Linked DNA regions of Macaca mulatta. Each later gene encodes a partner of the first gene's protein in a complex. Links are inferred from orthologs where the notes say so. Each region holds a gene or a part of one and is shown on either strand. Other genes may lie near its edges.

The links.
Region 2: the proteins of MMP10 (region 1) and TIMP2 are in contact, whole or in part, in a crystal structure (PDB 4ILW), measured with the Homo sapiens proteins. The link is inferred for Macaca mulatta from reciprocal best matches to the Homo sapiens genes MMP10 and TIMP2. Residues at the interface, in NP_002416.1 of Homo sapiens: Glu155, Asp169, Phe170, Tyr171, Ser172, Pro176, Gly177, His178, Ser179, Leu180, Ala181, His182, Ala183, Tyr184, Pro185, Pro188, Gly189, Leu190, Tyr191, Val214, His217, Glu218, His221, His227, Pro237, Leu238, Tyr239, Phe242; in NP_003246.1 of Homo sapiens: Cys27, Ser28, Cys29, Ser30, Pro31, Val32, Gln36, Ala37, Asn40, Ser57, Gly58, Asn59, Asp60, Tyr62, Asn64, Pro65, Ile66, Lys67, Arg68, Thr91, Ala92, Pro93, Ser94, Ser95, Ala96, Val97, Cys98, His123, Leu126, Cys127.

What each region holds. Positions count from the first base shown.
Region 1 is NC_133419.1:103,646,086-103,653,055, reverse strand, and holds part of MMP10 (stromelysin-2), read left to right. Parts: intron 1-1,231; 5' UTR 1,232-1,321; coding exon 1,322-1,473; intron 1,474-1,615; coding exon 1,616-1,764; intron 1,765-2,229; coding exon 2,230-2,355; intron 2,356-4,193; coding exon 4,194-4,358; intron 4,359-4,543; coding exon 4,544-4,688; intron 4,689-5,642; coding exon 5,643-5,776; intron 5,777-6,970. UniProt on the Homo sapiens protein: Can degrade fibronectin, gelatins of type I, III, IV, and V; weakly collagens III, IV, and V. Activates procollagenase.
Region 2 is NC_133421.1:88,535,366-88,542,335, forward strand, and holds the end of TIMP2 (metalloproteinase inhibitor 2), read right to left. Parts: intron 5,870-6,970; coding exon 5,745-5,869; intron 4,025-5,744; coding exon 3,827-4,024; 3' UTR 1,146-3,826; downstream 1-1,145. UniProt on the Homo sapiens protein: Complexes with metalloproteinases (such as collagenases) and irreversibly inactivates them by binding to their catalytic zinc cofactor. Known to act on MMP-1, MMP-2, MMP-3, MMP-7, MMP-8, MMP-9, MMP-10, MMP-13, MMP-14, MMP-15, MMP-16 and MMP-19.

The DNA.
Region 1 (6,970 bases):
TTAAGTTTAAAACATAGTCTTATTAAAAGAAAATTGCACTGATTTTAAAATGTCTAAACATTTGGCATTTTACCAACCTTATCAGTTCTCTTTAGGTAAATACACAGACATGAATTACCTAGTCAATTCTTTCTTGTCTTTACAAACACAGAAATCATTTCCTGGGGATTAATCATTCTTTCGAGCTTAGAAGGTTGAAGGAAAATACCAATGTAGGCTGTATCACCATTACATTAAAAGTTTGTGAGCATTCAGACTTAAAAAACATATGCATGAATCATGCTGTTGGTGACCTAAGCATTGTCTCTGTATAAAAGAAAGGACACTAGGGGGTAGAGCTAGAAGCCCAGTAGACAGAGAAGATAAGGACAGTGAGAATGATGCATCTTGCATTCCTGGTGCTGTTGTGTCTGCCAGTCTGCTCTGCCTATCCTCTGAGTGGGGCAGCAAAACAGGAGGACTCCAACAGGGATCTTGCCCAGGTAATTAATGGTGGCATCTAATGCAGCTACTGGCCAGCCCAGTGTGTCTACTTCACTTTCCAGTACAAAGCAGGATGATTAGACTAGAGATCACTTTGTTAGAAAACTGTAGCACCAGAGAATAATTAGCAGGCTGGAGGTGGAAATTATTTTTAAGTTAACAGAGAAGAAAAGAAAGTTTCAGAAAGGGCATATAATTACTCAAGGTTACAATAAAATAGTAGCAGTATATTTGTGGCTAAGTGAAAAGAACACGTGGAGAATACATGAAACTCCTCTGGCTTTAGAATTTCTTTAGTTAAAATTATTGGGGAGGGGGAGCATGCTAAGTCTGATCTTTAAATCACAACAGGTAACAGTTTTTATATTTTTACTTGTCATATTTGGACAAAAGAGTTTACTGCACTTCAGTCTTAAACCAAGTCTATAATAACAATGTAAGTGGAAAAGGTTAGTATTCTAACTTTTCACAAAACTATGTTAAAAGAGGGTTTCTTTAAAAACAAACAAAAGTAATGCTAGACCTGAATTTCCAATCCCAAATTCCTTACTTGACTAGCAAACTAACACTGCAATAAAATTTAAAAATTTGTATGAAATGGGGAGTCTTAATGAAAAAAATCAAATTAAATGTGTGATCGACTTTTGTTTTAAGAAACTAGAGGAAAATTAAGATGCATTATAAAAGTTGGGTAAGTGATGGAAAATCGTAAAAAATGACTTAAAAATTATACTCATTATTCCATTAGCAATACCTAGAAAACTACTACAACCTCAAAACAGATGTGAAACAGTTTAGAAGAAAGGAGAGTAATCTCATTGTTAAAAAAATCCAACAAATGCAGAAGTTCCTTGGGTTGGCAGCAACAGGGAAGCTGGACTCTGACACTCTGGAGGTGATGCGCAAGCCCAGGTGTGGAGTTCCTGACGTTGGTCACTTCCACACCTTTCCTGGCATCCCGAAGTGGAGGAAAACCCACCTTACATACAGGTAATGGTTCCGAGTAGTTTTCACATAATATTGAAACTTTATAAGTTACTTGTCATATTTGGATAAGTAACACAAAGTTTTCTTTAACAATTTTTCATAATGGCGGGAGAAAATAGTATCCTCTTCAATTTTTCTCCTCCAGGATTGTGAATTATACATCAGATTTGCCAGGAGATGCTGTTGATTCTGCCATTGAGAAAGCTGTGAAAGTCTGGGAAGAGGTGACTCCACTCACTTTCTCCAGGCTGTATGAAGGAGAGGCTGATATAATGATCTCTTTTGCTGTTAAAGGTAATCAAATAAAGCATCCATTTATCTGGTGTATTAATCTGTTTAGACTGCTAGAGCCAGATACCTTGGACTGTGTAATTTATAAACAACAGAAACTTATTGCTCACAATCCTGGAGGCTGGGAAGTCCAAGATTAAGGTGTCAGCAGATTTGGTGTCTGATGAGAATCTGTTCTTCATAGATGGTACCTTCTGTGTCCTCACACAATAGAAAGGGCCAGGAGGTTCCCTCAAGCCTCTTTCGTAAGAGCACTAATCTCATTCATGAGGGCAGAGCACCTATGACCTAATCACTTCCTAAAGACCTAACCTCTTAATACTATATCACAGTGAATATGGAGTTTCAACATATGAATTTGCAGTAGACACCAGCATTCAGACTATAGCATCTACTGTTGTTTTATTGGAACAGGGTAAAAATAAATTCTGAACCCTTATATTTCCATTAATTTTGTTTCCCTATCAGAACATGGAGACTTTTACTCTTTTGATGGCTCAGGACACAGCTTGGCTCATGCCTATCCACCTGGACCTGGGCTTTATGGAGATATCCACTTTGATGATGATGAACACTGGACAGAAGATGCATCAGGTGGGTTGTAAACCTCTCAGGAACATTTCAGGAATAATGTCTGATCCTACCCAAAATAATTGGATTATCTAGAATGAGAAATAAATGGAATATACTAGTAACTGAATTTTTTTATTGCCTGAGCTTTAAACAGAAGTACTGTTTGTTTCAATCATTATTGAAGAATTTTATAAAATGTCTGTATTTTCATGTTTGCCCCCACCAAGTACAATATTGTAAAAGCCATTCAGACTTATCTCCACAACTCAGGATCTTGTAGGGGTTTGAGGATCAGCATAATTAATGTTTTTCATCACTTTAATGGCAAATGATTAGGGTAGAATGAATTCCATTAAATCAGTTTCAATCCTAAAATTTGCCCTTAAGTTTTCTTTCTTTCTTCTCATTGGCCTCCTTTTTACTTAAAAGTAGAGATCAGGAGAAAATGCCAGGAACTGAAAAAAACACTGTTAGATCATCTTTTTAAATAAACATGTCACTATCTCTAGCTTAGATGGGGTTTTTTCCCCCCTGAATGGGCTTTGAAACACTTTACATCTAAACATAATGACAAAAATTAACTGTATGCTATTTAATTTTTAAAATGGCTTCTAAAGTTTAGAAACACACTGTTGAAACAATCACTATTTCTGAGAGTGCCTGGGATTTTTAATGTAAATGCAAAGAACATCTTTCCTGAGTACAAGACTCAGGAGGCTGAGGCACGAGAATCGCTTGAACCCAGGAGATGGAGGCTGCAGTGAACCGAGATTGCACCACTGTCCTCCAACCTGGGCAACTCTGTCTCACAAGACTGAAATCTGTGTTGCATGAAATGATTGCCTTTTATTTGAACAATTGTTCTTTTCTGCACAATTCTTGGAGCCTTGGTCAAATATCTACTACTAAATTCGATAAAACTCTTTTTATAATATTTTTTTAAAAGCTGAATCTAGCTGTGCTTGTGCTGCAGAAAACTGTTATTGGGCATGTTTCTGTTTTAAACTAAAGATTGTACACATCCAATGGCACTTATTACTGGGAAGATTTTTGACAATCAAAAATTATTTTATTATGGCTGAGCACCGGTGGCTAATGCCTGTAATCCCAGCATTTTGGGAGGCCAAGGTGAGTGAATCACTTGAGGCCAGGAGTTCGAGACTAGCCTAGCCAACATGGTGAAACCCTATCTCTAAAATATAAAAATTAGCTGGGCATAGTGGTACGTGCCTGTAATCTCAGCTACTCAGGAGGCTGAGGCATGAGAATCGCTTGAACCCGTACTCCAGCCTGGGCAACAGAGTGAGATTCTGTCTCAAAAAAAACAGTTACTTGAGTATGATGAAGAGGAGGAAGAGCAAATCAGACTAAACTCCACAAGAAATAACTACAGTCTTGTGGCCTAAAAGTTTGGGGAGCAACATAAATGTTATATGATTAATTTTAACCGAGGTTGCAACTGGCACATGTTCCTAAATTTGAACAATGACTTTTTACTTTTAGACAACGAAGAGTTATATTTATTGACATGGATATTAGTCTTGTCCTTTCAAAAAAAAAATCTTTGGAAATAATGCTTCTCATTTGTCAATATAGGAAAAGTGTCTTAGTTTTCCCGACCAAGGAGGGATCTAGGGAGCGATACGGTGAAAAACTGTCTTATATATTGACTTAAAGTCAACCTTGAAAAACACATTAATTTCTATAAAGTATGGAATATGCCAATCAATGAACCAATCCACAAATACTGAAAAGACCATGTGGTTTCAAGGATGGCCTGCACAGCTGGCATATGTTCTGTATGTGTATTTACGGAATAAATAGCTGGTGGATTCTGAACATTTATGGTTGTCATACAGGCACCAATTTATTCCTCGTTGCTGCTCATGAACTTGGCCACTCCCTGGGGCTCTTTCACTCAGCCAACACTGAAGCTTTGATGTACCCACTCTACAACTCATTCACAGAGCTGACCCGGTTCCGCCTTTCACAAGATGATGTGAATGGCATTCAGTCTCTCTATGGTGAGTGACGCTGGAAAAATTAGGCATTGTAGCTTTGCAATGACAGTCCTCAAGAAAGCTTTCCAATGCTACCTAAAGTATTTCTGATTTAGCTTGAAGCACTTTGAGAATGTTTGAAAGGCATACAAATTGACAGATGCATCACATTTTTTAAATGTTTGCATCCCCAAATCTGTCTCCTTTAGGACCTCCCCCTGCCTCTACTGAGGAACCCCTGGTGCCCACGAAATCCGTCCCTTCAGGATCTAGGACGCCAGCCAAGTGCGACCCTGCTTTGTCCTTCGATGCCATCAGCACTCTGAGGGGAGAATATCTGTTCTTTAAAGACAGGTCAGACCAGAAAATTATATTTTTCTGTCTATTCTTTTGATGTACAGTGCTTAGAAAGGAAAACAGAAATTTGATAGAGGTTTTTTTAAAAAAACTTTTATTTTAGGTTCAGGGCTACATGTGCAGGTTTGTTATATAGGTAAATTCGTGTCATGGGGGTTTGTTGTACAGATAATTTTGTCATCCCAGTGCTAAACCTAGTACCCGGTAGTTACTTTTTCTGCTTGACAGAGATTTTTGTAAATACAAAATTTTCTCTATATTTTAAAATCATTCAGATCTAGTTCTTGTTGAATTTTTAACATCCTGTTAGAATTGTCCAGGTCATTTTTTACACTTACAAGGGATGATTCTAGACTGTAAGCTTGATTAAGGCAGGGAGTTATATCTGTTTTGTTCATTTTTTAAAATATAAATCATGGAACTTCTTCAGAAAGCACTGGTGAATCCTTAGAAACAGGGTGATATCTTTCCCTTTGCTAAAAATTGCTACTACTTAAATTAATTACTTTTGGAAAAAAGTGATATATGCTTATGGCACAATATTTAGACACTGCCAAAAGATACAGAGTTAAACAATCTCTCTCTAGTCTTTGGTCTACAGTCCCCCAGCTCCCTTCACATGTGTAACCACTGCTACCAATTTCCTTTAACTCTTTACAGAAATGTTCTATTCATATACAAGCATCAATACGCACATAATATTTTTTAAAATATTAGGACATAATATACACACTGTTTATGGACTTTCAGAGTGGAAGCAAGCTAAATAATTTTATTGGAACCAGTCACAAGTCCTGCCATCAATTTTATTACCCTGGAATCACATGCAGGAGGATGGTTTAATATAGACTTCTATGAATGCGTGAATTAGCATGGATTTTTTTTAAAAGAATACTTTTTTTCACATAGCTAAAGGAGAAAGACAATTGCAAGTAATTTTATGTATTACAGATATTTTTGGCGAAGATCCCACTGGAACTCTGAACCTGAATTTCATTTGATTTCTACATTTTGGCCCTCTCTCCCGTCATATTTGGATGCTGCATATGAAGTTAATAGCAGGGATACTGTTTTTATTTTTAAAGGTGAGTACTATATAAGAATTTTCAACTTGCTGGAATAAATCCTAGTGTGAAAATTTTATCGACATGAGTTTTCTCCATTATATTAAAGTTTAGATTACTGCAAGACCTTGTGCTAACACTTAAATAAAATTTGTACAAAGAACATTATAAACTTTATTTTAGAGACCTCTTAAGTGAATAGGTGGTATTCCATATTCATGGATAAAAAATGCAATATAGTAAAAATGTCAATTTATCTATAGATACAAGACATTTTCATTTCAAATGCCAAAAGATTTTTCATGGAACTTGACAAATTAGTTTTACAATTTATACGGCAGCAAAGAGAATAGCCAGGAGGCTCCTGGTGAACCCATCTTATTAGATAAGGAGAAAAGCCCTGTGTTATAAAACTTTAATCAGTAAGATGTAGTATCAGTTCAGGGAGAGATAAATTAACTAATGGAGCTATTCAGGTATGGCGGCTTCTTTATCAGATTTTTAAACTACGGTTTCAATTTGTTTTATTGGTAATATGCTATTTGAGTTTCTATTACTTCTTGAGTCAGTTTTGTTAACATGTTTTTCTAAAAGTTTGCCAATTTTGTCTGTTTTCAAATCCATCAGTAAAAAGTTTTTGGAAAATTATTTTGTTGTAATTTGAATTATTGCTGAAGTTTTGTTCTCTTTTTCATTCCCAATACTGAACCCTTTTGCCTTTCTCTTTTTCTCTTTATTAATCTCATAATGTATGTAATAATGTTATTGATCTTTTCAAAGGACTGACTTTTGGCTTTATTTATCCTCTATATTATATTTTGATTTCCCATTTAACTAATTTCTGTTCATATCCTTATTGTTGCCTTAAGTTTTGTTTACTTTTAATTGATCCTGTTATTATTGTTATAGCTTAAGTTTGATACTTACCTTATTAACTTGTAACTTTTTTCTTTTCTAATATAAGCATTTATACCTATAAATAACCATTTCTTCTTTTTTATTCAGCAAATTTTGATATGCAGTATTTTCATTTTGTTCAATTTTAATTCTTTAATTTCTCATCTTTATTTTTCCCCTAGACTTATAGGTGATATTGGAATATTTTTAAATGTCAAGCTTTATGAAGATTTTAAAAATGTTTATTTCTGGCAATCTCACTTTTGTGAAGATTAAATGAATGTGAAATTGCAATAGAAATTGTAAAGAATTATAACT
Region 2 (6,970 bases), on another chromosome or scaffold:
CTGGGACTACAGGCATGCACCACCACGCCCAGCTAATCTTTGTATTTTTTGTAGAGTTGGGGTTTCTCCATGTTGTCCAGGCTGGTCTTGAACTCCTGGGCTCAAGCAATCCGCCCAGCTTGGCCTCCCAAAGTGCTGGGACTACAGGTGTGAGCCACTGTACCCGGCCTGAAAAAAGGTTTTAAAAGTAGTTTTTAATTTTTGGCCAGACGCGGTGGCTCACGCCTGTAATCCCAGCACTTTGGGAGGCCGAGGCGGGCGGATCATGAGGTCAGGAGTTCGTGACCAGCCTGACCAACATGGTGAAACCCCGTCTCTACTAAAAATACAAAAATTAGTTGGGTGTTGTGGCGGGTGCCTGTAATCCCAGCTACTCAGGAGGTTGAGGCAGGAGAATCACTTGAACCCAGGAGGCGGAGGTTGCAGTGAGCCAAGATTGTGCCATTGCACTCCAGCCTGGGTAACAGAGCAAGACTATCTCAAAAAAAAAAAAAAAGTAGTTTTTATTTTTTAAACATGCGTACTGGAATATTGATAAATGAGACTGTTTGATGCCTGGAATTTTTTTTTCCAAATAATTTCGGGCAGGGTGGGTGAAGACTGAGGGTAGGTCTAAAGCTGGCCATGAAGCCCTCAGTGTTGAAGCTGTGAGACAGGTGCATGGCTCTGCGTTTCTCTATAATAAAACGTGCTGAATGAGGGGGACCCTGTCCTACGCTTCTGCCTCTTCATCCACCTAAGAAAACCACATTTGCTTTTACCTGTCCCATCTCTGCCACCACAGCTCAAGTGATCCTCCCATCGCACCCTTTGGGTAGCTGGGACCACAGACAGATGCCACCACACCTATTTTTTGTAGAGCCGGGGTTTTGCTAAGTTGGCCAGGCTAGTCTCGAACTCCTGGACACAAACGATCCACCCGCCTCAGTCTCCCAAAGTGCTGGGATGACAGGCGTGAGCCACTGCACCTAGTCTGCATCCCACATTTGACTCAGAGCTCACTGGCCTTGTTTCTCTGGAGGACACAGGGCGCCCCCTCCCGCTGGACAGGAAAGGCTCCTTGCAGGGGCTGATTCCCATTCTTGAGCTAGAAAGTGGCCATTCTGAATGTAGGATACAGCCACACAGAGAGAGCCCACGTTCTCTTTGATAATACTGTTTATTGTCCACGGACCGAGCGATTGCTCAAGAATGATACAAAGCATCAGAGACATGCGCAGTCTGCTTGTCAACTTCCAACAACTCTTGTGTGTTCCCAGCACCGGAAGGTCTCAGACTTCATATTCCAGCAGAAACACAGTGCTCCCCTCCCCCAAAACTCCAAACGAAAACAAAATCAACAGAGCTTTAAATTACGGCAGCAAGTCCAATATTTCTTAATACTTATCAAGCAAAGATTTGAAAATAACTACAATGTAAACTTTATTTTAAATATTTTGAGTTGCTTGCAGGATGAAAATAGGAGAAAAGAGCTGTGCTTAGAACATAACATATAAATTAAACGATGCCAAATGGAGAGCCTTCTTAAACTATATATATATTGCCATTATTTACTGTGAAGGTATTTGAGCGGCTTCCTCTCTCAGCTGCCACCAGGCTCTTCTTAACCTGTTTTGTTTTCTACTCAGCATGGTTAAAAGACCAACGTGTGTGGATCGACTATAAAGGCCACACCTTTCAGACCGAACCTACTCAAAGATCCTTTACTTTGTAATAATTTGAACCGGAGAACCAAAGACGGGAGACGAATGAAAGCAAAGATGCTCAAAGAACCCAAGGAAAGACCTGAAGGAATCCACCTGCATAGGCCACGCGTTCCGCTCCGGGTCAAATGCTTCCACGATGCAGAAACCTCTTTTAAAAAAAGTGCAAGTCTAACACCTACCAAGGGTAATAAAAAACACAGCACAGGAATGATTACAGTTGATGTCAAAAACAAACCAAAACATTAAAAAAACAATCGGCAGAAACAGGAGTAAATGTTACATATGATATCACCGTACAGGAAGCAAACGGGGGTGGGGTGTTACATGGGTTGGAGGGGTCTGGTGGAGTTGTATATACTGAAATCACATGGACTGGTCCATTATGACATCTTACCAACTTTAGATCACTGTACAGCATGAAAACGCCCGTGGGGCAGGGGCCGATTCCTGGATACCCTCCCAGTCTGCCCTAGAAAGGGAAGTCATCAAGATCTGTGCTGACCAGGTCCCGATGGGCATGGGGCCTGCATGCCACTTGGGGGTCAGGAGTCTTAACAGGTGCTTTGGGGTTGCCACTGAATAGAACAGGCTAAGGTGGCTTTGGAAGCATTTTGCAGGACCACTCCCAGGCCGAAAAGCTTCAGTTTCATTGCGTGTGTATGTTTACATAATGTGCCTATATATCGTCAGTTTATCTTCACAACACAGGTGGGAGCAAAAGAGATTCTCCTTATCGTTACCGAGAAAGTTCTTCCTATTCTGATCCCCATATCACGGGCTTCAGGAAACCATGTTTAGGGAACACATAGGTTCCCTAGTTCCCTAAGAAGTTTCTTAGCTAGGTCATCTTTGTCATTTGAGAAATACAAGCAGAAGTTGGTATATCTGCAACTCAGGTTCACCTGTCATCTGAGAATTCATCATCTGAGAATTCATCGTTAGAAAAAGGAGGTGTCTCTTAAAACAGGCCCAAGTATCCTGGAGGCTCAGAAAGAAGTGAGAGTGTCACCAAAGCCACCTACCTCCAAAATCCTTCCCTTCCTAGGCTGGACTTCTTACTACACTTAGCTGGCGTCATGTGCAGAAAGCCCCGTGCAGAACGATGGCTGTCAGTCTTTGAGGGAGAGAACACTAAGCCCAGGAGGGCACAGCAAGACCCAGCTTTTTCTGTCCTCAGGATGTGCAGATGGGGAGCACAGCCAGGCCCTGCACACAAGCCCAGATAAAGCAAAGCCGTGCCACTCAATCCAGGTGCCTGGTGCCAGAATGGGCAAGAAGCAATGGCAACCACAGCAGCTCAGGAAGGGACCTTGAGGGCAGCCACCGGCCCCGGACAGCAGCCTCAGGACAGGACCTCACCAATTCCCCCTGCAGGCTGGGGAAGCATGTGGACGGGGGGTGCAGGAGACCAAAAAGACTCAGCTGAGGCTGGGGTTCCTCGCTCCCATTTCTACAAGGCTCAGAGGGAGGCTCCCACTGGAATTCTGAGGATTAATAGGATTGATGGGGCTCCTTCAAGAATAAGCCGCTGGTTCCAGGCTGTCCCTGGATGTGGGGGGAGCCACAAGTGCTGGGAGGTCATGGTGGGCACCGGGGTGATGGGGGTACTTGCCAGGGGCAGGGAGTGTTACACTAGGGCCAGAGGCGTGGAAGCTGCAGAAAACAAGGGCCATGCCCCTCTCAAGATGAAAGGGACCTGGTAGGCCTGCTACACAGTCTTGCAATGACCCTCAAAAGTTTCTGCAAAATGCACATTTCCAGGCCCCGCCCTAACCCGGCTGGGAGATCCCTAAGTGCTGCCTGCTCGGCATCTGTGACGGTGCCAAGGCAGGGACTGGGAGGCAAGCTACATGTCCCAGCCCTGCCTGCACCCAAGGATCGAAGCCCCAGACACACAGTGCCTGGCAGAGGGAGGATGGGATGAGGACCCTGGACCCATGTCTCCCTCCAGACCCACAACCGTGTCTAAAAGGAGAAGCGGGGAGCAGAACTGTACTAATTTGGACCCACGGGATGAGTGTTTTATTCATGCTGTTTCCAGGAAGGGATGTCAGAGCTGGACCAGTCGAAACCCTTGGAGGCTATTTTTGCAGTTGGCCACAGGGGTGTTGTAGGCCTGCTTATGGGTCCTCGATGTCAAGAAACTCCTGCTTGGGGGGCGCCGCGCCGCGGTACCACGCACAGGAGCCGTCGCTTCTCTTGATGCAGGCGAAGAACTTGGCCTGGTGCCCGTTGATGTTCTTCTCTGTGACCCAGTCCATCCAGAGGCACTCGTCCGGGGAGGAGATGTAGCACGGGATCATGGGGCAGCGTGTGATCTGGGGAGGGGCACACAGAGGGGGATGGAGTCAGGAACCCAGGAAGGGGTGGGCAGAGGCTGCTCTGGGGGCATGTCCAGAACCCGGCAATGTGCCTACCTGCGGTGTGCAGGGATGGCAGCCTCTCCCGAGACCCACAGCTCCTGCAGGGGCAGGCGGCTGGCCTGCGAGGGGGTCTTACCTGCAGGGAAGCTGTGCCCCGCCCACCGGGGCCCCCCTCCTGCTGCAGGTGTGCTTCCCTTTGGGCCATCTTCTACCTTCCTGAGCATGAGAGAATGGCCTGGCTTGGCCCTGCCCTCTGGGGGACATAGCAACAATAAAAGGGCCTGGGTTTCCTGGAGACAGATTCCAGCCCAGTGAAAAGGCCGGGAATTGGGAACTGCTCAAGGCCGAGCCCTGAGGTCATAGGCAACTAGCAATTTGGCAAAGGAACCCGAGGCTACAAGAGGATGACTGCCTTCACTGCCCCATGGAAAGAAAAAGGAAGAACTTGCTTTTGATTTCATGCTGGGCACAGAGGAGTTTTGCTTAACATATGTGTGGCTGGAGACTATGAGTTCAGAATTCCTGTTTTGAACATGCTGAGAAGGGGCTGGTGGCCGTCAGGAGGGAGGGCAGCCCCAGGCAGCTCCCCAAGGAAGGCCAATCCCCACGGCCTCACCAGAGTCTACTGGTCCCAGACTCGCTGGGAGTGACCCAGGGTGGCAGGTGCCCAGCACTCAGCAATGCTTCCGGCAGGAAGGGTGGGGATAGGGTGCTAGGAGCCCACAGGGTAGGAGCCAGCCCGGGAGCCCTGGAGGTGGTGATCTCGCCTTCCACAGTCACATCCAAGCGTCGGGCTGCTACGACTGTGCCTGGCACAACCTCCGGGCTCATTTGAAGAGAAGCAGGTGTTCTCAACACACAGACCCCACGTAGACACCGACCCAGGTGTGAAAATGTCGGGAATGTTGGAAAAAGCATGAGGCCTGCAGTGCCCTCTCACAAGGCACACAAGGGTTTGCATATCCGCATTTGTAGGAAATGATCCATGGGACCATATTCTCCCCATACAGCTCCTTTTTCTGGAAGGGGCAAGTAACAGAGCTGAATTTATGCCTTACTCTCAAATCTCCTAGCCTTCCAGACATCCCCCTCCATTTTTTTTTTTTTTTTGAGACAGAGTCTCACTCTGTCAACCCAGGCTGGGGTACAGTGGCGCGATCTTGGCTCACTGCAACCTCCACCTCCCACGTTCAAGCCATTCTCGAGCCTCAGCCTCCCAAGTTGCTGGGATCACAGGCATGCGTCACCGCACCCGGCTAATTTTTGTATTTTTATAGAGACAGGTTTCACCATGTTGGCCAGGCTGATCTCCAACTTCTGACCCCAAGTAACCTGCCCATCTTGGCCTCCCAAAATGCTGGGATTACAGGCATAAGCCATGGCGCCCGGCCTCCAGACATCCCTTGACAGAGATGTGTCTCAGGGCTCTCCAGGGACCAGGGGCCAAAGGCTTTGTCGCCAGCCAGACAGCCTCACTCCTGGGATGACTCTGCCTTCCCAGAGCCTGGTCTTAAATCAGAACCCCGGGATTAAGAGGCTCTGGAAAGCCAGGGACCAAAACTCCCCATACAGCTCCTTTTTCTGGAAGGGGCAAGTAACAGAGCTGAATTCATGTGCTGTCCATCTGGAGATAGTGGGAGGAGGCGACGCCTCAGCAGAGACGGGACCTGCTTACCTTACACTCGCAGCCCATCTGGTACCTGTGGTTCAGGCTCTTCTTCTGGGTGGTGCTCAGGGTGTCCCAGGGCACGATGAAGTCACAGAGGGTGATGTGCATCTTGCCATCCCCCTCGGCCTTTCCTGCGGAGAGACGGGATCACCAAGCTCAGAGCGAGGGACAAGTCCTCCTGCCCAGCTCCTCCACCCGGCGCAGGGGTGCTGGGATTTTGCTGTAACAACACTGCACACTGTCTAGTCTGAGTTCAAACATAATGGGTGGCCAGGTACGGTGGCTCACTCCTGTAATCCCAGCACTTTGGGAGGCTGAGGTGGGTGGATCCCTTGAGGTCAGGAGTTCAAGACCAGCCTGGCCAACATGATACTCCCTCTCTACTAAAATACAAAAAATTAGCCGGGTGTGGTAGCACATGCCTGTAATCACAGCTACTTGGGAGGCTGAGGCAGGAGAATCGCTCTTGAACCCCAGAGGCGGAAGTTGCAGTGAGCCAAGATCGCGCCACTGAACTCCAGCCTGGGTGACTCCATCTCAAAAAAATAAAAAGTGGAAAAAAAAAAAAAAAAGCCATAATGCATGTTCACTGACAGAAACTTAAACGTAGGAAACAATCAAGAAAAAACTTCCCCACTTTCATTACCCATAGCAAACATTTTGATGTATTTCCTTCCAATATTCCAGTATTGATTTTGAGACAGTCTTGCTCTGTCACTCAGGCCAGAGTGCAATGGTATGATCATAGCTCACTGCAGCCTTGACCTCCCAAGCTCAAGTGATCCTCCTGTCTCAGTCTCCCGAATAGCTAGGTGTGAACCACCACACACCCTGCTAATTTTTTCTATATATTTTTTTGTAGAGACAGGGTCTTGCTATGTTACTCAGGCTGGCCTTAAACTTCTGGGCTCAAGTGACACCCTCACCTTGGCCTCCCAAAGTGTTGGGATTACAGGATTACAGGCATGAGCCACCATGCCTGGCCCCAATATTCTTTTAAATTAAATTTTATTCTTAAAAAAAGGATAGAGACGATGTTTCACTATGTTGCCCAGGCTGGTCTTGAACTCCAGAGCTCAAGTGATCCTCCCGCTTTGACTTCCCAAAGTGCTGGGATTACAGGTGTGAGCCACTGCGCCCGGCCAATATTCTCTTACATATGCATCTTCACACACAAAACATCATGCAGTATGTAGATTGTATTGTTTCCCGTTTTGTTTTTCACAAAATAT